3 linked regions of the Mus musculus genome follow. The protein of the gene in region 1 purifies or fractionates together with the protein of each later gene. This does not show direct contact. Links are inferred from orthologs where the notes say so. Each region holds a gene or a part of one and is shown in the gene's direction. Other genes may lie near its edges.

What was found.
Region 2: the proteins of Arhgdia (region 1) and Rhoc purify together in Homo sapiens (affinity purification with mass spectrometry; 4 studies listed by BioGRID and IntAct, with this or other methods). This does not show direct contact. The link is inferred for Mus musculus from reciprocal best matches to the Homo sapiens genes ARHGDIA and RHOC.
Region 3: the proteins of Arhgdia (region 1) and Ezr purify together in Homo sapiens (co-purification; 3 studies listed by BioGRID and IntAct, with this or other methods). This does not show direct contact. The link is inferred for Mus musculus from reciprocal best matches to the Homo sapiens genes ARHGDIA and EZR.

Annotation. Positions count from the first base shown.
Region 1 is NC_000077.6:120,576,723-120,585,325, reverse strand, and holds Arhgdia (rho GDP-dissociation inhibitor 1), read left to right. Parts: upstream 1-3,701; 5' UTR 3,702-3,804; intron 3,805-4,078; exon of another isoform or gene 4,079-4,336; intron 4,337-4,932; 5' UTR 4,933-4,954; coding exon 4,955-5,144; intron 5,145-5,275; coding exon 5,276-5,359; intron 5,360-5,581; coding exon 5,582-5,658; intron 5,659-5,746; coding exon 5,747-5,810; intron 5,811-5,895; coding exon 5,896-6,095; 3' UTR 6,096-7,227; downstream 7,228-8,603. UniProt on the Homo sapiens protein: Controls Rho proteins homeostasis. Regulates the GDP/GTP exchange reaction of the Rho proteins by inhibiting the dissociation of GDP from them, and the subsequent binding of GTP to them.
Region 2 is NC_000069.6:104,789,689-104,797,617, forward strand, and holds the end of Rhoc (rho-related GTP-binding protein RhoC), read left to right. Parts: intron 1-2,200; 5' UTR 2,201-2,208; coding exon 2,209-2,364; intron 2,365-2,876; coding exon 2,877-2,997; intron 2,998-3,211; coding exon 3,212-3,342; intron 3,343-4,181; coding exon 4,182-4,355; 3' UTR 4,356-4,771; downstream 4,772-7,929. Other genes in the region: Mov10 (putative helicase MOV-10), read right to left, coding at 5,461-5,552, 5,637-5,758, 6,006-6,094, 6,172-6,297, 7,079-7,153, 7,282-7,473, 7,587-7,704. UniProt on the Homo sapiens protein: Regulates a signal transduction pathway linking plasma membrane receptors to the assembly of focal adhesions and actin stress fibers.
Region 3 is NC_000083.6:6,751,781-6,755,280, reverse strand, and holds part of Ezr (ezrin), read left to right. Parts: intron 1-395; coding exon 396-670; intron 671-1,211; coding exon 1,212-1,295; intron 1,296-2,151; coding exon 2,152-2,298; intron 2,299-3,500. UniProt on the Homo sapiens protein: Probably involved in connections of major cytoskeletal structures to the plasma membrane. In epithelial cells, required for the formation of microvilli and membrane ruffles on the apical pole. Along with PLEKHG6, required for normal macropinocytosis.

The DNA of each region.
Region 1 (8,603 bases):
CAGAATGCTTCAAGAAACAATCTGTGGGTGGATTGTATCCTCCCAAACTTTATAGGTGGAAATCCACTCTCTCAAGGTACTAGCATAGGAGGTGTGGCCAATGTGAAGGTGATTCGTTGATTGTATAAGAATATCAATTGACAAGATAGAGAGATGGCTCAGCGGTTGAGAACACTGGCTTCTTGCTCTTCCAGAGATCCTGAGTTCAATTCCCAGCAACCATATGGTGGCTCACAACCATCTGTAACGGAATCTGATGCCCTCTTCTGGTGTGTGTCTGAAAACAACTACAGTGTACTCATATAAATGAGATAAATAAATCTTTAAAAAAAAGAATATCAGGGCTGGAGAGATGGCTCAGTGGTTAAGAGCACTGACTGCTCTTCCGAAGGTCCTGAGTTCAAATCCCAGCAACCACATGGTGGTTTACAACCATCTGTAATGAGATCTGATGCCCTCTTCTGGAGTCTCTGAAGACAGCTACAGTGTACTTACATATAACAATAAATAAATCTTTAAAAAAAAAAAGAATATCGATTTACAAAATACCTTGATCCACAACTTTCAGTTCCCAAACATATGCTAATAAAAGTTGTAAGCCATCCTATAGGACTAACAAGGGCAAACCCCAGACCAATTACAATGTCTACAGTTTAGCTTGGCTTGGTTTGGTTTTGAAAATCTGGGCTGCAAGTGCTGTATGAAAGTGTGACACCTGCAAGCCACTATTTTGGTTTTGTTTTTCTTTTTTCTTTTTCTTTTCTTTTTTTTTTAAAGATTTACTTATGTAATGCATGTGAATATACTCTCACTCTTCAAATACACCAGAAGAGGGCATCAGATCCCATTACAGATGGCTGTGAGCCACCATGTGATTGCTGGGAATTGAACTCAGGACCTCTGGAAGAACAATCAGTGCTCTTTACCACTGAGTCATCTCTCCAGCCCTTGGTTTTGTTTTTCAAAGATTTTATTTTGGATTTTATTTTTGGCTTTTCTATATAGGGTTTCTCTGTGTCCTGGAGAAACTATAGAGACCAGGCTGGTCTTGAACTCAGAAATCTGCCTCTGCCTCTGGAGTGTGCCACTACTGCCCAGCTAAAGATTTTATTTTTCTGTGTGTTCCGTGTGTATGTAAGTGTACAGTGTAAATGCTGTGCCCTCCAGGGCCAGAAGAGGGCATTTGGCTTGAAAAGGAGTTACAGATGGTTGTGAGCAGCCATGTGGGTGCTGGGAACTGAACCCAGGTTCTATGCAAGAGCAGCTATCTATCAGCTGTCTGCCTGTACCTACCTACATACCTACCTATCTATCTTTGTTTTTAGGGACAAGTTTTTTTTGTGTGCATCCTTTGTTGTCTCTGTAAGCCAGTGGACCAGGCTGGCTTCAAACTTATAGAGCTAGAGAGCTCCTAGAGATCTGCCTGTGTCTGCTTCCCAAGTGTTGGGAGCAGTTGTGTGCTGCCACCACAACCTGCTTCAATATATTTTAATTTTATTTATTATTTATTATATTAATATGTTTTAATTATACAATTATGATATATCATATGTAAATTGTATTTATTTTTATTTAATGTTCATTGTTATTTTGCCTGCATGTGTCTATGTAAAGGTGTCAGACGCTCTGGAACCAGAGTCACAGACAGGTTTGAGTCGCCATGTGGGTGCTGAGAATCGAATCTGCATCCTCTAGAAGAGCAGTAGTCAGTGTTCTTAACTTCTAAGCCATCTTGCCAGCCCCTGGCTCAATGTTTTTGTTTTTGTTTTTAAAGATTATGTAAGTACACTGTAGCTTTCCTCAGATACTCCAGAAGAGGGCATCAGATTTCGTTAAGGATGGTTATGAGCCACCATGTGGTTGCTGGGATTTGAACTCAGGACCTTTGGAAGAGCAGTCGGTGCTCTTAACCACTGAGCCATCTCGCCAGCCTCTCAATGTTTTTTAAGCACTCAAATTTTACAAAATTTTATGCAAACTTAAAGAATTCATAAAATATAATCAGGGCCAGTCAGTGGTGGCACAAGCCTTTAATCCCAGCACTTGAGAGGCAGAGGCAGGCGGATTTCTGAGTTCAAGACCAGCCTGGTCTACAGAGTGAGTTCCAGGACAGCCAGGGCTACACAGAGAAACCCTGTCTCAAAAACAAAAATATATATATATATATAAAATAAATCAGGGAAATGCTGACTGGACTTTTAATGATCTTTGTGATTTTTTTCAAATGTGAATCACTGTATGTATGTAGCTAGACCGTATAAAAAATCTTTGGGCATGGGCAGGCTAAAAAGATGGCTCAGCAGTTCATAGAGCACTGGCTCCTCTTTGAGAGAGATCTTGGGTTTGATTCCCAGTACAGTACAGAACCCACTACTGTTCTAACTCCAGTTCCAGAGGATGCAATGCCCTCTTCTGACCTTTATGGGTACTGCACACAAGTGGTTCAGAGACTACTTCAAAATATTGATATGCATAAACATAAAAACGCAGCTTTGGAAGATTTGTACTTTGAGCGTCAAACCAGGGAATTGTGGGTGGCACAGAGCTCAATAAACCAGGCTCATCCAGTTGGAGGACCATGAGCCTCCTGAAAAGCCAGCTTGACACACTTCGTTGGGCACACCTGTGTGTAGGTGGAAGGCCAGCCAAATTCATCATACAGTAAGAGTGGGGATAGTCACGTGGCTTTTTGTTTTAGAATAGTTCTGCATAGAAGAGCAGCTACCTGGATGTAGGGTAATGATATTGCAAATCCATCTTCCTTAGAGATAAAAATAAATGAGCTTGAAAGAACACTTGGTTTGCTTCAGATTGATGTATAGCCAGAGGGTATGCGTGCTTGTGTAAAATAACTGGGCCACAACTGAAGATGGAGAGTGGAGGCCATTGGATTCCTCATCTTTTAAGTTTGATGACTCTCCGGAGCCAACAGCTGTTTCCTGGATACCACAGGGGCAGGTGTGGCCAACAGAGCAGGCCAGAAGCGATGGCTTTTGTGGGATTAAGCTATAGAAGTCCCCGTAGTGCCCCTTAAATTCCTGCCTCCCCTCAGTCTGAGGCTACACTCAGAAGAAGCCAACATGGAGTGCCCTCACGGAGTAGCAGGAACTGAGACTCCTCAGGAGGAACTGGAGTGGCTGGCACAAGCACACGACCGGGAACCCCCCCAGCCAGGCCCTCCACTAAGGAGGCTCCATCCTCAGCGTCGTGAAACACGCCTGGCGGTGATGGTGCACGCCTTCAATCTCAGCATCCTGGAGGCAGAGGCGGGCGCGTCTCAGGGATGAGGTTCAAGATAGGCAGGCAGCCCGTTCCAAGGAAAACCGCTCCTCACAGCAAAACCATACAACTTCTAACATACGGGGGCTCGGGGGGCACGCAGTCCCCAGAGCAATGCGCCAGGCAGCACAGCTACAGGGCACTGCGGTCGGTGAGGACTGTGGTTCTGTTGACTCTGAGGACAATGGGACAAGGGCCAGGCACGGCAATCAGGGAACCCTGGGAGCCACAGAATGGCCGCGCGACGCTGCTCTGGAAGAGCCGGCTCTCGTGTCCCACAAACCCTCGCACCCGGCATTCGGCAGAAGGCGCGAGGGCGCCGGCCCACGCGGGACGCGCCCACGAGGCCCGCAGCAAAATGGCGACGGCGCCGACCCGCGCCCCCTGGCGGCGCATGCGCAAGGCGACCCCGCCCGCGAGAGCGGAAGTCTTGTGACCCCGGAAGTGACCGTCCGAGCGGCGGGCGGCGGACGACGTTCGTCATTTGGTGCGGGAGGGAGCGCGAGAGCGGCGGTCGAGCCTCCGGTGAGTGGGCGCGTGGCGCAGCGCGGTGCAGTGCGGGAGGGGAGTGGGTTGGCTTTGTGCGGCGTCGCGGGCGACTGCGGCGCTCGCGGGCGGGGCGCGGTCACCCGGGCGGGCGGGCGGGGCGGGCCAGGGCGGCAGCGCAGGTCCTGCCGGAGGGGCCGCGGCCCCCCGGGCCTGCGCGCCTGCTACCAGGGGACCCCCTTCCTCGGCCTCGCGGGCGGGGTCCGGCGCGGGGCCTGGCCCGGGGCTCCCGCCGCGCGGCCCCGCCCCGCTCGGATTGCGGGCTCTACGGAAGTGCGGGCCGCGCCCTGATGCTGTCGCCGGCGGCCACGCTTGGCGTCGGGTGGGGTTGTCTGTAGCCTCCGGGTTTCGGACCGCCGCTTTATGTGTTTCCTTGGCGGACACCTCTCAGAGGGACAACGGCCGGGCTCTTCCCGGGACCGCTGCGCATTGCCTGTAGGCATCACAGTGGGTTTCCGAGAGACGTTTGGGAATCTGCGGAACTGAAAGGCATCTAGGCGCTTCCGTCCTGGTTGGTTCCTCACCGCCACTAAAGGTTTAGGGTCAGGGCCCAGAAACAGGCTCCTGAGATTTATTTGCAAGCGGTGCACTAGCTCCCAAGTTGCATACGCAGACCCTCACTAGAGAGGACAGACCTGCGTATTTAGGATCCCCTTTGGGCTCTTGGGATTTAAGCGGTCATCACATAGTTGAGCTTAGGACAGTATTCCATTGGAAGGGACGAACAAACAGACCCTTGTCCTGCACGTGGCTAACATACAGAGCATCTCCCTGTCGGAGAACTTACCTCCATGACCCAACCCAGTAAGATGAGAGCCTGGGCAGCTAGGGACAGCAACAGGACCCCAGGGATTTAGTGTTGCGTCTGCCAGTTCAGTTCGGTCTGGAGGCTTATTCTTAGTGGGGAGGAAAGGTGTTTTGCTTCTCTGAGGAACAGGCTGTGGTCCCATTTCGTTGCTTGGGGTTCTAGTCCTCTCAAATGGGCCTCTGCGTAGGGCAGTGGCAGCATCCTCTCAAAGTTCCAGTCAGGTGTCCTGCAGGTGTCAGGGTCTGCCTAGGGTGGAATGCCTCCAGGCTGTCACAGTCCTGCTCATGCCCCGCCCACAGGTGTCCCAAGCTAGAGGTAAGCATGGCAGAACAGGAACCCACTGCTGAGCAGCTTGCGCAGATAGCTGCAGAGAATGAGGAAGATGAGCACTCTGTGAACTACAAGCCTCCAGCCCAGAAGAGCATCCAGGAGATCCAGGAACTGGACAAGGACGATGAAAGCCTCCGAAAGTACAAGGAGGCCCTGCTGGGCCGAGTAGCTGTCTCTGCAGGTAGGTGGCTTGGAGGAAGGATGTCATCTAAACCTGTGCCCAGTCTCTTTCCAGACCACTCTTCCAAGGAGTGAGTTTAAAAAGAAAAATCTTAAGGGATGGGACTCTGACTCTTAACTCTCACTCTGCAGACCCCAACGTCCCCAATGTCATTGTGACTCGACTGACCTTGGTATGCAGCACTGCCCCAGGCCCTCTGGAACTGGACCTGACAGGTGAGTGGGTATTAGAATCCCTGGGTGGGGCCAGCTGGCATCTTGCCTCTACCCCTAAAAATAATTTTCTGCACTGATGCCCTCTGGTGGAGAAGAGGGGAAGTGCAGCTAGGGGCTTGCCGAAGCTCTGCTTTGTGTCAGGGAAGGGGCTGGGGAGAGTGAATGTAGCAGGGTGGAGAGCCCTTCAAGCAAGCAGTCAGCGGAGACTCCTCCTCAATACAGGTGATCTGGAGAGCTTCAAGAAACAGTCGTTTGTCTTGAAGGAAGGTGTGGAGTACCGGATAAAAATCTCTTTCCGGGTAAGGTGGGGGCTTTGAGAGGCCTGGAAACAAGGGGCAGAGGGGCAAGCCTGGGAAGGCAGCTGACCCTGGCTCTGTGTCCCCACAGGTGAACAGAGAGATCGTGTCCGGCATGAAGTACATCCAACACACATACAGGAAAGGGGTCAAAAGTGAGTGGGCGGGCCATAGAGTGGGGAGCCATTGGGCCTGGGAGGGGCGTGCAGCACCAGTAATCCTGCCTCTCCTGTCCCTCAGTTGACAAGACTGACTACATGGTCGGGAGCTATGGGCCGAGGGCCGAGGAGTATGAGTTCCTGACACCCATGGAGGAGGCTCCCAAAGGCATGCTTGCTCGGGGCAGTTACAACATCAAGTCGCGCTTCACAGATGACGACAAGACTGACCACCTGTCCTGGGAGTGGAATCTCACCATCAAAAAGGAGTGGAAGGACTGAGCTCCAGCTGGGAGACGGGCAGGGCGACGGACAGACAGAAGGACCGACATGCCCCACCCTAACCCCCTACCTACCCCAAACCAAAGTGCTGACAGGACCTCCCTCACCCGTCATTCCTCCCTAGTCCACTCAGGCAGTCAGCTCTCCTGTCTGCCCCTCCTCCACCTCCTGCCCGCAGGCCCCTGTGGTCTCCAGTGTCACATTGCTGCTTCTGCCTGTGCAGTGGGGGAGGGGTTCCAGCCCAGGCCTCCAATCTGCTGTGTCCCTCCAGGTTCCCTCTGTCTTCCCTTCCTCAGGCCCTGGCTTCTAGAATGGAACAGAACACTGTCAGGGTTGTCCAGCCCACCTTGTCTCTGTCGCAGCATGGGGAAGGGCTGGGCTATCTGTCCTCTAGTCCCACCACTCCCTGGCCAGGTCATCCATCACTGTCAGTCACTGTCTAACCATGATGCCTTAACATGTGGAACGTGTGCTGGGGGCCGTCGCTAACTCTTAACTCCCTGTCTGCATGAGCATGTGCTCTCCCTGTCCTCGCCTCGTCTGCCATCCCCATCCCAGTGACCCACCCAAGGGAGGCCTGGGGTGCGCTGCTGTTGCTTCCTGCGAGCCTGGCCAGCTCTTCCCCTCCCCGTGGCCAGGGTTGGGGGTGGCTCCAGTAGCTAGGGGAGGGTCAATTGCCAAAACTCGATGCCTCCAGCCCCATCTAGGAGGCAGGGTAGGGTGCCTCATTCCTCTGCCTTCTCTGTCCCTTGTAGGCAGTACTCGGAGCCCCTGTCCCCACAGAGAGCCCCTGAGGGACAAAGCCAGCCGAGCCTTACTTGTCTCACCTGGGCCACGTGGCCTGAACCTCGTGCCTGGCCTGTCAGTATTTATTGCCTCCATTTGGGCCAGCTGGCCTGATGCCTCTGCCCTGGTTCTTGGTGCCACCATCCCTGGGCCGACCCTCCCTGGACCCAGCCAGGACAAATGTGGGACCAAGTTCACACAGTTGGGAGCTGTCTCCTGTGCCTCCCCTCCCTATCCCCAGTCCCTGTGTGGTGTCTGCCAGGCCCAGCCTCAACAGGCAGAGGAGCCTGTCCCTGCTTCTCTTCTGACTGGGAAATAAACACCCCTGAAGGAGTCTGGGATTGTGTGGTCTGTGCAGCTTGTGTTGGGGTTTTGTAGGGAATGGTAAGAATCCAGTGGAGGGTGGATGTCCCTCAGATCAGATGTCCTGGCTACAAGGTTGTCTGCTGCTAACAGCCCTGTTTTGTCTTTGCTCCTGGCTTCCTGTGGAGATGTGAATATAGAACAAACCCCAGGCCCATGGGTCACAGTGCTGGCCCTGGGCATAGAGGGATTGCCTGAGTCAGCATATCTAAATTTCCCCTGGCTGGGACTTGCCCTCAGTATGGAGCCCTGCTGGAAGATCAAACTGATCTGGCTCTGAACAACTTGCATGTGTAGGTCGACCTGGTGAGAGAGTTCCCTATGCCTGTTAGTGAGGCTAGTTGGAACAGGAAACCGAGCCTCTGCACATCTCCAGTACTGTGCTCTCTAGAGCACCCACGAACCTAGGGAGAAAGGGCAGGACCACTGAACCATGAAGCTTGTAGCAGAACCCTGAAAAGCCACTAAGCCTTAACAGGGCTCTTGTGTAGCTCTCTGTAGTGACCACAGGGAGGCAGGATTACTTGTCTGTCTTCAGCACAACCAAAGGTACCTAGTAACCTCAAAACCCCATCCTGCCTTTACAGGAGTCAGTCTAAAAACTTCCCTTTTCAGCCTTATGCTAGCTTTGGAAAACCACCCTCTGATGAAGCTGTTCAGGAAAGTGGGTGTACCAGTTGTGTAGCGAGTAGTAATCGGCTACTTTGCTGGAGCCCTGCCAATCTTGCCTTGGGGTCCACCAGTGGTGAATAGTGTGATGAACCTTTATTGCAGGGGGCCAAAAGATACCTTTTTGTCTTGTTGCTGACAGCTGACCATAAATTGGGCCATGTCCGCCATTTTTACTAGATCCATCGGAGCCAAAGACTGGCGGACCCCAGAACCAACCTTCTGTGGGACACTAACCTGATAATAGCAGCTCCTTGTACTAGGCAGCCAAATTGTTGATCCAATCCTTACCCAGAACTCTTCCTGGCCCCAGCAGTCGGGGCCTGAGCAGGGTGAAGCCTTTTCTCCAAACTGCAGAGCCAACCAGTCTCCTAGCTCATCCTTAAAGTGTTTATTAGATGCTCTCAGCGATGCTGTTTATCAAATAAGGGCTTCTGAAGCTCTCTTTGGACCAAGATACTTAATCTTACAGCTCTGAGTTTGTCCTAGGCAGCTAAGTGTGTGAACTCAGACCCTAAGTTCCAAGTGTACAAGCCTACTGCCAACAGCTAGGACTTTGCTCTGGCTCCTCCCAGTGCAGGTTAACTCAGAGTGGCCTCAAAGTGCATGATGTGTTTCCTAGGTCCCAAGTCTAACCAGATCCTCCCAATCTCACGCCCCCTAACCTGCCTCTGTGGAGAGCTGTTGCAA
Region 2 (7,929 bases), on another chromosome or scaffold:
CTGGAGTCCAGCTCTTCCTTGACTTCTGGCTTTAAAGTTAAGGAAAAGGTGTTGCCCGAAGAGTGATTCCTCGCCTAGATCTCGGGGGGAGCAGAGTACAAAGGCCTGTTGGATCACCTGGGAAATCAAGAGAATAAGGAAGGCTAGTGGCTTGTCCTAGGGAAGGTCCCAGAAGTTCCAGACCCCTCTCCCGGCCCTGGGTGAAGTTTTCGTTGTCTCTCTTAGGGTTAGTGGGGCAGTTCCGCTGGAGCCGCCTTTCACAGGGAGTGTTAGCCAGGCCATCCATGCCATGTTGGCCTTCGGCCTAATGTCCCGGCTTGGCCTGAGTCCCCAATTATTCTGGCCTAAGCAGAGCCTAGATGCAAAGTCTTCGGAGCTGGAGGCTCTAACACAGCCACGAAGTTCCGGCCTCTGCCTCCCACCATCAGATGCTCAGCCGCCTTGCTGCTGTGGGACAGCCGGGGCTCACGCATGGGGATGTGACTAGTGTTTAAGTGTCCTAGGGATCACGCTCCATCCACACTGCCCACCCTGGCTTGGGGCTGTCCCCGCCAGCCTGTGTACAGCTAGACTGGTTGAATTAATGGGAGTAGGTGGGGAAGTTGGAGGAAATCCTGTGGGTTACCTGGATATACCTCTCAGACCTCATTTTTGAAGGAGATATGCAGCATAGCGAATGCCTTCTTCCCAGTCTTTCGGGGGTACCAGGGAAAGCCCCTTGAGATGGGGGGTGGTAAGTGTGGCTGTGCATACGCAACTCCTATAAATTCTCTGTGACTCATGTCCTCTTTCCTCACATCCCAGTTTTGTGTGTGTGTGTGTGTGTGTGTGTGTGTGTAGGTGTAGGGGAGGGAGGAACCACCCAGGCGCCTGATGCTGAAAAGAATCAGCCTGGGGCTGGAGTACTCTGCTTCCTAAAAGGCAGGCACAGGCCAGGGTTTGAGGTGGTTTGTAGGGAGCTAAGAGTTGAGCAGAGCCAGACAGGATGTGGGACTGAAAGGCAAAGCCAAGTTTGGGGCTGAGCTCAGGTTACTGTGCCCTTCTTAACTGCTCCCTGCCTGGTCAAAAGCTTAGACTGATCCTCACTAGTCCTTTCTTTGGAGGCTCCTCCCAGCCCAGGCTCTGGTTCCCTCCCCCACAGCCTTCGCTTCATCTCTACTCTGTCTGGCATGATCCTTGCCAGGCTGTGTAGGTCTGGAGACCTCACTGACCCGGTCAGCTCCCTGTGGTCTGAACTGCTCGTTCACGTGTGCTGGGGTGTAGGACACATATAAACTCTGAGAAGCTGACTCCTTCCTTATCTTGAGTCACAGGGAGGTGTCTGCTGGGCCTAAGGGTCAGCTGGTCACAAGGAGGAAGGGGCTGTTCCAGAGAGTGGGTGGAGGTGATTCCCGAGTGGGTTTAGCTCCGTCACAGCAATGCTGTGATAGATGTGTGGCTCCCCACAGTGTGGTCATTGTCCCCTGTCAGGGGCTGAGTGACCCAGTGTTGCTGCCAGGCCCAGAAAAGGGGATGGGTGGTGGTGGTGGTGGGGAGGCAGCGGAACAGGCTGCCTGACCGTGAGCTGCCAGGACTGAGCCTTCTTTGTGTGACTTGAGACTTTGGGGAAGGGAAGGGGGTGGGTCAGGGAAGCCAGCCTGCTTCCACTGGCCTCTGGCTTAGCTTCTCCCACTTCTGCTCTCACCTGTGAAGTGCCATGTAGGCAAGACAGACTGCATCACAAAGTCCTGTTTTGAGAGCTGTCCCTGTACTTTTGTCTAAACCACACTGAGCCTCAGTTTCCTGCTTATGTCAGGAAGGCCCGGAGTCAGCGAGAGGGACCCGGGAGATGCTCAGTGGGCGTGGTGCTTGCAAAGCAAGCATAGTCACCTGAGTTTGATTCCAGGACCCCATGCAAAGGTAGACTGACTTGTCTTTTACCACCACATGTGTATGTGCCTCGGCCAATAAAGAGTTTTTTGTTTTGTTTTCAAATGGGAAGGCCACCATCCACCTAACAGGCAGCTGGAGAGATGAAGTTGTAAGGTCTTCTGCCTGCAGGATTGGTTCTTGGCAAGAACAGGCCTTGGCGAACCCTCTTCTCTTCCTTTGCTGGATGCTGTGGTTTCTAGGCAGGCTTGAGGGGGTGGGTGGCTAGATAAGTGTTATTGAATTTACTGGCTTTCCCCTCCTCAAATCCCCACTGCCACCTGCCTGCCAGTTTCAGCCATGGCTGCGATCCGAAAGAAGCTGGTGATTGTGGGTGACGGTGCCTGTGGGAAGACCTGCCTCCTCATTGTCTTCAGCAAAGATCAGTTTCCAGAGGTCTACGTGCCTACCGTCTTTGAGAACTATATAGCCGACATCGAAGTGGATGGCAAGCAGGTGAAAGCCATGTATTTCTTGTTTTCCTGGCTGGGAAGCCTGTTCCCCCAGTCACACGGGGCCCATGGATGTCCTTCCTTACCACCCACCTCCTTCTTTATTTCCCTGCTGGAACCAGCAGAAGTTAGGAAGTGAAACTGGAACTGTAGAAAACCTGGATGCACTATCTGGTTGGACCACATACTGGCTCTGGAATCTGAGCCAAGTCCCTTTTGCCTGTGGGCTTAACTTCTCCCTACTGCAAAATGTGAATGAGAGTGAGACTTCTCCCAAAGGGTTGTCCTAAGAACTAAATGCTGCTGACAGTGGCAGCTCATACTACACCAAGATCAAACCCATCTTAGATCTTAAGAGAAGTGGATCATTGGTTTTGTGACTGATCAATACAACCCAGCACATAGCGAGCAGTTAAGATGTTGTTCAGCTAGCTTATAGGATGAGTGATTTCAGAGGGCCTCAGGGTGGTAGGGTTGGGGCCCTCAGGCCAACTGCTCAATAGCCTTGTGTGTCAGGTGGAGCTGGCTCTGTGGGACACAGCTGGGCAAGAAGACTACGATCGCCTGCGGCCTCTCTCCTACCCGGACACTGACGTCATCCTCATGTGTTTCTCCATTGACAGCCCTGACAGTTTGGGTAAGGCTTTGGAAGAATCTTGGGAGCATGTAGGTCCTGCAAGTCTCCTTTGCTATAGAGACAGTAGCCCTTGGGGTGAGGAGTGTTCACTGCAAAGGGCTTTGAGCTGTGCAAGGTACTGCCTGTTCAGTAGACTCCAGGGCTGCTATAGAAGACCTGGCTTCTGTTGCTAAGTAGAAGTGGGTACATCCACGTTTTGGTGATATCTCTGCAGAAAACATTCCTGAGAAGTGGACCCCAGAGGTGAAGCACTTTTGTCCCAACGTGCCCATCATCCTAGTGGGGAATAAAAAGGACCTGAGGCAAGATGAGCATACCAGGAGAGAGCTGGCCAAGATGAAACAGGTGGGTGGGGCTGCGCTGCTGGTGGTGAGGCAAGTTTCCCAGCCGAGATGCAAACAGCTGATAGCCAGTGGTAGCGGGACTGTGACGTTCATCTGCTGTCCTGTCCGAATGCTGGGAAGAACTAGAAGGGCCCCCAAGTAACTGAAGTATCAGAGAAGCGACTTGCCCGAGGGTGTGGGGGCTGTGTGTTAAGAGTTCCCTGGGGAGGGAGGGCATTATACACTGCTGGGAGAAGGCTCAGAGGGGTGAGTACTCGAGGACTTGCTAAATAACTCTAGCCAGTGGACTGTTTTACTTAGGGGAAGGTAGGCTATCTTGGGAGGCTAATTAAGGCTTTAGGTGGGGGTTCAGTCTCTGTTAGTAAAAGTACTCTGGTAGCTATGTAGTATAGACGAGAACAGTCTCAGCCTGTGGGTCATGACCCCTTTGGGGCTGCATGTTAGATATCCTGCATATTAGGTATTTACATCACGATTCATAACAGTAGCAAAACTACAGTTATGAGGTAGCAACAAAAATAATTTTATAGTGGGGGGGTGTCCCCACAACATGAGGAACTGTATTAGAGGGTTGCAGCACTAGAAGGCTGAGCGCCACCAGACTAGAGAAGACGGAGTATGAAGTCAGTTGGGCAGTAGGTACTTGTTCAGGGGGGGAATGGGTGCCGTAGGGGTGAGGCTGGGCGGGGGAGGGATCAGACAGAATTCTGCAATGGCAACCTGGGTCTTATGTCCCCAGCCTGGAAACTGGCCGTGGTAGCTGGACCTAGGAATTCTGCAGGGCCAGTCTGGAGGATGCTCAGTTACCCCTTCTTTTGACCCTGTATCTTGTCTTATCAGGAGCCGGTTCGATCTGAGGAAGGCCGGGACATGGCAAACAGGATCAGTGCCTTTGGCTACCTCGAGTGCTCGGCCAAGACTAAGGAAGGGGTGCGGGAGGTATTTGAGATGGCCACTCGGGCGGGCCTACAGGTCCGGAAGAATAAGCGCCGGAGGGGCTGTCCCATTCTCTGACTTCCCCAAAGCTTCCTCAACCCTCCCACCCTTCCCTTCCCAGGGGTACAGTTACCCTCCCCCACGCCATCCTTGTAGGACTCCATGCTGCCAGTTTCTTTTTTGGTTCCTTTCTGCCCAGGACTGCATGAGTTTCCCAGCCCCAAGTGGGGGCTGCTAGGCCCTTCCTCCCTGCCTCTGGGAACCGGGCTGGTGCCCTGCCTTTCCTGAGCAGGGCTCCTCCTCCAGAAGCGGTGGTCCAGGGGGTGGGGCTCTTAGTCCCTCTGGCCTTCCCCATATTACACACCAGCACTTTATATATTTTTGGCTCACAGGAGGAGTCTAGGGTAGGGACTGGGGTTTCTGCTTTGGGTAGTAGCCTTGTTATTTGACTTAACTTGGTGGGGACATGAATAAAGGTCAAAGGTTGCACCGTGTGTGGCAGCTTCCTGTCTTTACTGGCCTACCTTGGCTGTGAGCCTGGAGTCCCATCTTTTCCTCTTCATTTCCAAGTTGCTGGCTAGGCTGGGCCCCTGTCTGCTGAGGCAGGGCTGGGGGCGGAGGCAGCAGGGGACAGGGTGGAGTCTAGTACAGGATGAGGTCATGTTTGGCAGACTGCCTGGGTGGGTGAGGGGAGTGGTCTGGACCATTGGCTAAACATAGATGCCTGTGGGTTGGTTCCCTGTCCATCGGGTTTCCTCCCCGCTAAGCAGCTATGAAGGGGCGTGGCTCTAGGCAGAAACCCTCCTGGAGGGTCATCTTGGGGGCACAGGAAGCAAGACCAGGCTGATGAGACACACGCAAGAGGCTTTTGCATAGAACAGCATTTTGTTTTTCTTAAAGCAGCTCAGGGGCAGAGTGCTTGCCTAGCATATTTGAGGCTCTGGGTTCGATCCCCAGCACTGCAAAGGAGAGGGTTTAAAAAAAAAAAAAAGCTTTCTTCCTCCCCCTTCCTCCGAGTTTTAGCAGCTTGGGTTGTCTTCCCTAGCAGAGGAAGGGGCGGAATGGTCTGGGCTGTAAACTTCCCGGCCTTCCCATCTCTTGCAGGGACAGGAGAGCTGGGTTCTGGGTCAGGGATAGGCAGCAATAAGGCTTGGCTGGTGTGAGAAGGCGGGCGGCTGTGGCCTCAGAGCTCATTTCTCCACTCTGGCTCCACTTGTAAGGGCAGGCCCCCTTCACCCTCCCGCTCCTGGGGGAGATTCTGGTGACGGCGGGGCCCTGGGAGAAAAAAAAGAGACATCCTTGGTTATCCTGCCGGCTTCCCACACTTCACCTCCCTGGCCCAGCAGGGCCCATCCATACCTGAGGTAGAGGGGCTGAGTTTGCTCAGACCTTGGAGCAAGTCCTGTCCCTGCTGCAGGTCCAGTTTGGCAGGAAAGGGGCACCCGGTATATCCCCCGTTTTCTTTACAGAACTCCAGGAACCTGTGGGGTTCAGAACATCGGCATGCATGGGGAACTGCCAAGGAGCCGAGTCTGGCGGCCTCTGCTCGGCACTGTCACATCTGAGGCAGAGTTGCTCCACCTCACTTATTAATACAGGGTGGGCATTGTTAACACCAACAGCTCTGAGGACTAAGGGAGAAGTAAGCCAGTGCTTGTCGAGGACAAACCTGCCCCAGGCTGGGGCTCACGGTGGCTAAGAGCAACTATGGGGGCTGGGAACACTTACGTTTTCCAGTCTGGGTCGTGGCCTAGGAGGAGGGGGTTGCCCACTACGATGAGCAAAGCCTTGGCTCGGGTCACAGCAACATTGAACCTCTGGATGGAGGAAGCGGTGATGTCATCAAAGGGACAGGCCCCATGGAAGGACTCACGCCACCCACAAGCCTACCAACCTTGGGGTTCTTAAGGAAACCGAGGTTAAAGTCTAGATCCAGCTGTACAAAGCTCTGGCTGCTTCGGACGGTGGAGATGAGGATGACGCTGCGTTCTTGGCCTTGGAACTCTTCCACAGAGCCCACCTAGAGTGCAGACACAGGGCTTTAAAGATCAGATAGGCCTAGGAGGAACCACGGTGACAGACCTGCTCTAGGGGACAAAGCTGCCAGGGAGGTACAGACAAGACACTGGGTACTTGGAGATGAGTAAGAGAATCGCAGAGCCCGGAAGAGGGCAGAAGGCCTGCTGTGAAGGTCTGTGGGACAGAGCCAGTTATAGGGTGGGGGGCCTGGAAACTGTTCAAAGCAAACGGCACTGTGCTGCAAAGGAACAGAGTGGGAGTTCTCATCCCTGGAGGCAGCCACCAATTTGGTCAGAAATTCTGAGGGAGAGGCCAGTAAATCCTAACTCAGTGGTTTTCAACCCTGGCTCCACATATCACACTCACCTGTGGATCTTTTTAAAAACCATAACAATAAGAACAAACACTCTACCAGAGCCCTGGCTCTGCCTCGGGCAGCTATGTTAATTGTCTGGGTGGGATCCAAGAAGTGGCATTATTAAACTTTAATCTGAATCAGTGTTGAGCCACCCCTCAAGAACAGTTAAACTACGTAGGAGGCTTGGGGCAATATCATGTGACAGGTGTTATCACGTAACAGGAGGGGTTGGTAAAGGGAGTTTGGACTTTAACCTTAGGCAGAGGCCACACACCTGATTAAGGCAGTATGCGTTAACTGGCAGCCTGCCAGGTTCCACCTCAGAACCACCTGGGGGAAACCCCAGTTCCACTTTGAGTAAACAGGGTGGGACAGGACATAGCACAGGCCTAGATAAGGGGAGTATGATCGAGAGTTAGGTTACCTTCAAATCTTTGATGTCATCCAGTCCGCGAAGTTCTCGGTCAAGTTTTGTGATGCAGTAACGGATTTTTTCTACCTGGAGGGAGGAATAGGTGCCCTTCTCTTAGGCCATCCCCCTCACACAAGAGGAAGGCAGAGGCAGGCTGCTGGCCAGGGTGCTGGCGGGCAAAGAGGGAAGTCCTAGGCTTGGACTGAGGGCCTGACCTGCTTCCGGTACGGGGAGATGACGCCCACATTTCGGGGGCTCAGGCGGGCTTTACCCTTCTTGGAGGAAGGGGCCAGGAGTTGTTTCAGGTATGACGTCACTGTAGCAGCCTCTTCAGGGTTGAAGAAGGATGGGCTATTGCCTTCTCTCTCATCTTTGCCCATTACACCATGGAAAATGATGGGGAAGCCCTGGACGCCATGAAATAAGAGGAAACCTTCAGGCTCATCTCCCTGCCTCCCAATCCTCCAACCCAGCTAGAGAATCAGGGGTTCCAGACTGTGCTCTGCCTGCTAGGCCTCACCTGCTGAGGCAGCCCCTCCCAGCGGCAGAACCGTTCTCGATCCACCACATCTGCGCAGGCCTGCAGCTCTCCGTCGTAGTACAGCTGGTTAGGGATGTCCAGGATGGTGGGGTGAGACCTAGGTGGCAGGAGGAAAGAGAGCAAGATCCAAGACCTCGTAGGGAGCTCTGCTTCAAGTGCTCCCCACCCTAGTCGCTGGCCCTTCAGCCATGCCCAGTAACAGCCATCAGTGTTTGCTGTCAGGTGCTGCAAACCACAGAGAGCCAAGCCAAAGGCTAGGGCTCTCACTCAGCAGCCTTTTAAATTCCTTTTAACAAACTTAGAAATTAGGATCCATTCTCGG
Region 3 (3,500 bases), on another chromosome or scaffold:
GATAGCGTGGTCACAAGAAATGAGGGTGAAGCCAGCCGGTTTCCAGCAGAGTGTGAGTGCGTCGGACTGACTGACCACCTCACACCCTACAGCGATGAGTTTCAGGGCTAGGGAATGTGGCTGAGTTAGAAGGATGCTTACCTAGCACGCACAGGGCCCCGTATAAACCAGGCATGGTGGGTCATGCCCATAATCCCGGGACTCAGGAGGTGGAGGAGGGAGTGCCAGAAGTTCACGGCCATCCTCCATAATGCAGCAGTTTGAAGCAAGCCTGGGATTCTCACATGATAACATGTGTCTCACATGATAGCAGTGATAATGGGATGACAACTCTGAGTCACTGGTGCTCAGGAATGGCCTGAAGTTGGCACTGAGAACCGTCCCCCGTCTGGCAGGTCTCCGCACAGGAGGTCCGAAAGGAGAACCCTGTCCAGTTTAAATTCCGGGCCAAGTTCTACCCCGAAGACGTGGCCGAGGAACTCATCCAGGACATCACACAGAAGCTCTTCTTCCTGCAAGTCAAGGACGGGATCCTCAGCGACGAGATCTACTGCCCCCCAGAGACAGCCGTGCTCCTGGGCTCCTATGCCGTTCAGGCCAAGTTCGGAGATTATAACAAGGAAATGCACAAGTCTGGGTACCTCAGCTCGGAGCGGCTGATCCCCCAGAGGTGAGCCGAGGCTGGCCTGGGTGAGCACAAGCCCCTGTCTCAGGAGGAGGGAGCGAGCAGGAGATGTGAGAGGGAGCAGGTGATTCTGTCAAGGTGAAGTGCTCCCTTAGGCTGGGACGCTGGGACTTTCCAAAGTGCTCACTTTGGAATGTTCTCAGCCAGCAGGCTCCCCTGATGATGAATTGTGACCCAGCCAGGGTACCGTGTCCCTTTCTGACTTGCCTGCTTAGCTCTGCCTGGTACACAGTAACCTGACCTCTGGAAAATCTGTCCTTACTAAAGGTGGCAAAAAGAGACCCCCTTTGGAAGAAAAGGTTATTTAAAATAATTTTTCACAACTTCCAGCGGGAATATGTTCTTTGAAAGGCTAAATCTTCAGGTTTATGCTCAAGAAAGAAAATTGGAAAGTAGAAACAAAAAGCCGTGATTGTTCTATTCAAAAGAACAGTGAGGGATTGAAGGGGTGGGAGGTGGCTTCGTGGCTCACATCTCAGCCCTTGAAGGTGACAACAGTCCTGCATCTCTCCTTCCCAATGTCCAGAGTCATGGACCAACACAAGCTCAGCAGGGACCAGTGGGAGGACCGGATCCAGGTGTGGCACGCGGAACACCGAGGGATGCTCAAGTGAGTGCCTGCCTTTTCAGTGTGCCTTCTCTGGGACTGCAGGTAGCTCTTCCAGTCAGGTCAGCCAGTGTTAGGTCTTCATGCTTGGTGAAGTCCAAGATGGATGACTGGGCTTGCCTTGGGGAGAGGGAGATTTCAGTTTTGTGTTTTAAACAAGGCCTGGTGTTCTTGCCCGGGGAAAGAAACAACTCAGTTGAAGCCTCAAATGCTAGCTAGCAGTAACCACCCTTCAGTGGAAGGTCCAGTGGCCAGCACTCATTTGGCCGAGGGTAGCACTGGTTGCCAGTGAATCCGGGTTTCTGTCTCTTGTGGAGGAGCTCTAACTAACTTGATTATTAAAGTCATTATCTTAGTGTAATATGCACTATATATAATGTAAGCACGGGCTGCAGTTGAGAAGAGCAGCAAAGCTTGAGGGAGAGGCATGGGGCTTTAGAATACTCAAATGGAGACCCCAGTCCCTGCCTCTGGCCTTGTACACAGCCCCCACTACTTCCTTGTAGTTAGGGACTCGGGGACTGTGTGCCACAGGGGCCAGGAGTCTTTGTGAGTTCTTTCTTGGGAACCCTGATTGTTCTGTGAATGCGGAAATCTGAGTTATCCCTAGCAAGAGAATAAAAAGAGGGGAAAAGCCTGTCTCCTTAGAAACCAGGGCAAATCAGTAGCTTCTTCCTGAACTCACGGGGCCGATGAATTTACAGGGCTCAGGACAACACAGGCCCTGCCTGCCCATCCCGTATGCCGTGCCTCCCGCTCTACTCTGCATGACTGGCCTCCATTTCAAGAATAAGCAGAGACTTGTGTGTTCAGGTGTGAATGCTGCTAACTATAACACCTGTGCTTTCTTTCCCATTAGGGACAGTGCTATGCTAGAATACCTGAAGATTGCCCAGGACCTGGAAATGTATGGGATCAACTATTTCGAGATCAAAAACAAGAAAGGAACAGACCTTTGGCTTGGAGTCGATGCCCTTGGACTTAACATTTATGAGAAAGATGACAAGTGAGTTGAAGTTGATCGCTGATTTTTTTTTTCCTTTCTTTTTTAAGCTGTGGAATAGCAGGCCTGGAAAACAGAGGAAGTGCCATGCCAGTCCTGTGTGTGTTAGACTGTGTGGTAGCATCATCTTAAGTGGTGACCTGGAAGTTAGCTACTTAGTTAGATGTACCTTGTACATCTGTTCTGTAGGACATGGGACCTGTGGCAAGGAAAGGCCCCGAGTGCAGGACTATAGGACCCTGACCCTGTGAAGCAGAGCTTGGTGGCTCCCAGAGGCCGTTCCCCCTCTATGGCTGTTCTAGGCTCTTGCCTAGCTAGGGTGGACTCCTGGCTCAAGGCTTGTGCTAATCCAATCAGGAACGTTGATAATGCCACCAGACACTCCAGGATTCTGTAAGCAGCCGTCTGCATGTGTGAACAATTAGCTAAATCCCCTGAGACTGCAGAAGGTGTCCGATTGCTTCACAGCCATTACGTTGCCTGTCAAGCAAGGTCTGAGAACAGAGTCGAAAGAGCTGCCTGGCACTGGGAGCCTCTTGTCAGCTGATGATGTTTGTCCCTGAGATGCCTTCTTCCCACCAAGGGAAATCATCCCACTTCAGCAAAGGGGAGGTGGTCCTGAGCACAGCATAGAAGAAGGGCTCTGGCTGAGGAGCCGTGAGACAAGAATGTCCCAGGGTCTCGATGTCCCCGTTAGTAGGTCTTATCTGGGAAACCTAGAGGGAGGCCTAGAGCCCAGGAATGCAGCTGAGTCCCGTGAAGTGTGTCAGGATGTGCAGCTCTGCTTCATGTCCTGTCAGCTCCCCAGATCTCACCCTGTCCCCATGGTCTCTCTGGAGCCATCTAGGAGAGTGGCCCTGTTCCTAGTAAAGGACATATACATAAAGACTCCAGTTAGTGAGGCCAGGCATGGTGGTGCACACCTTTAATCCCGCACTCGGGAAGCCGAGGCAGATAGAGCTCTGTGAGTTCAAGTCTAGCTAGGGCTGCAAGGTGAGATCCTGTCTAAAATACAAACAACCCATACAGAACATCCCAGGAGCCCTTAACCCTTGGGGAACCAGAGGCAAACTGTGGGGAACTTGGCTGCTTGCTTGTGTGATGCGGTGTTGATAGAGAGTCTGAGGGAACTCTCAGAGCCAGGCCGCAGGCCTTCCTCCACGCCTGGAGTGGAGCCTGGAGCCTGTGAGCCATCACCATGCGGA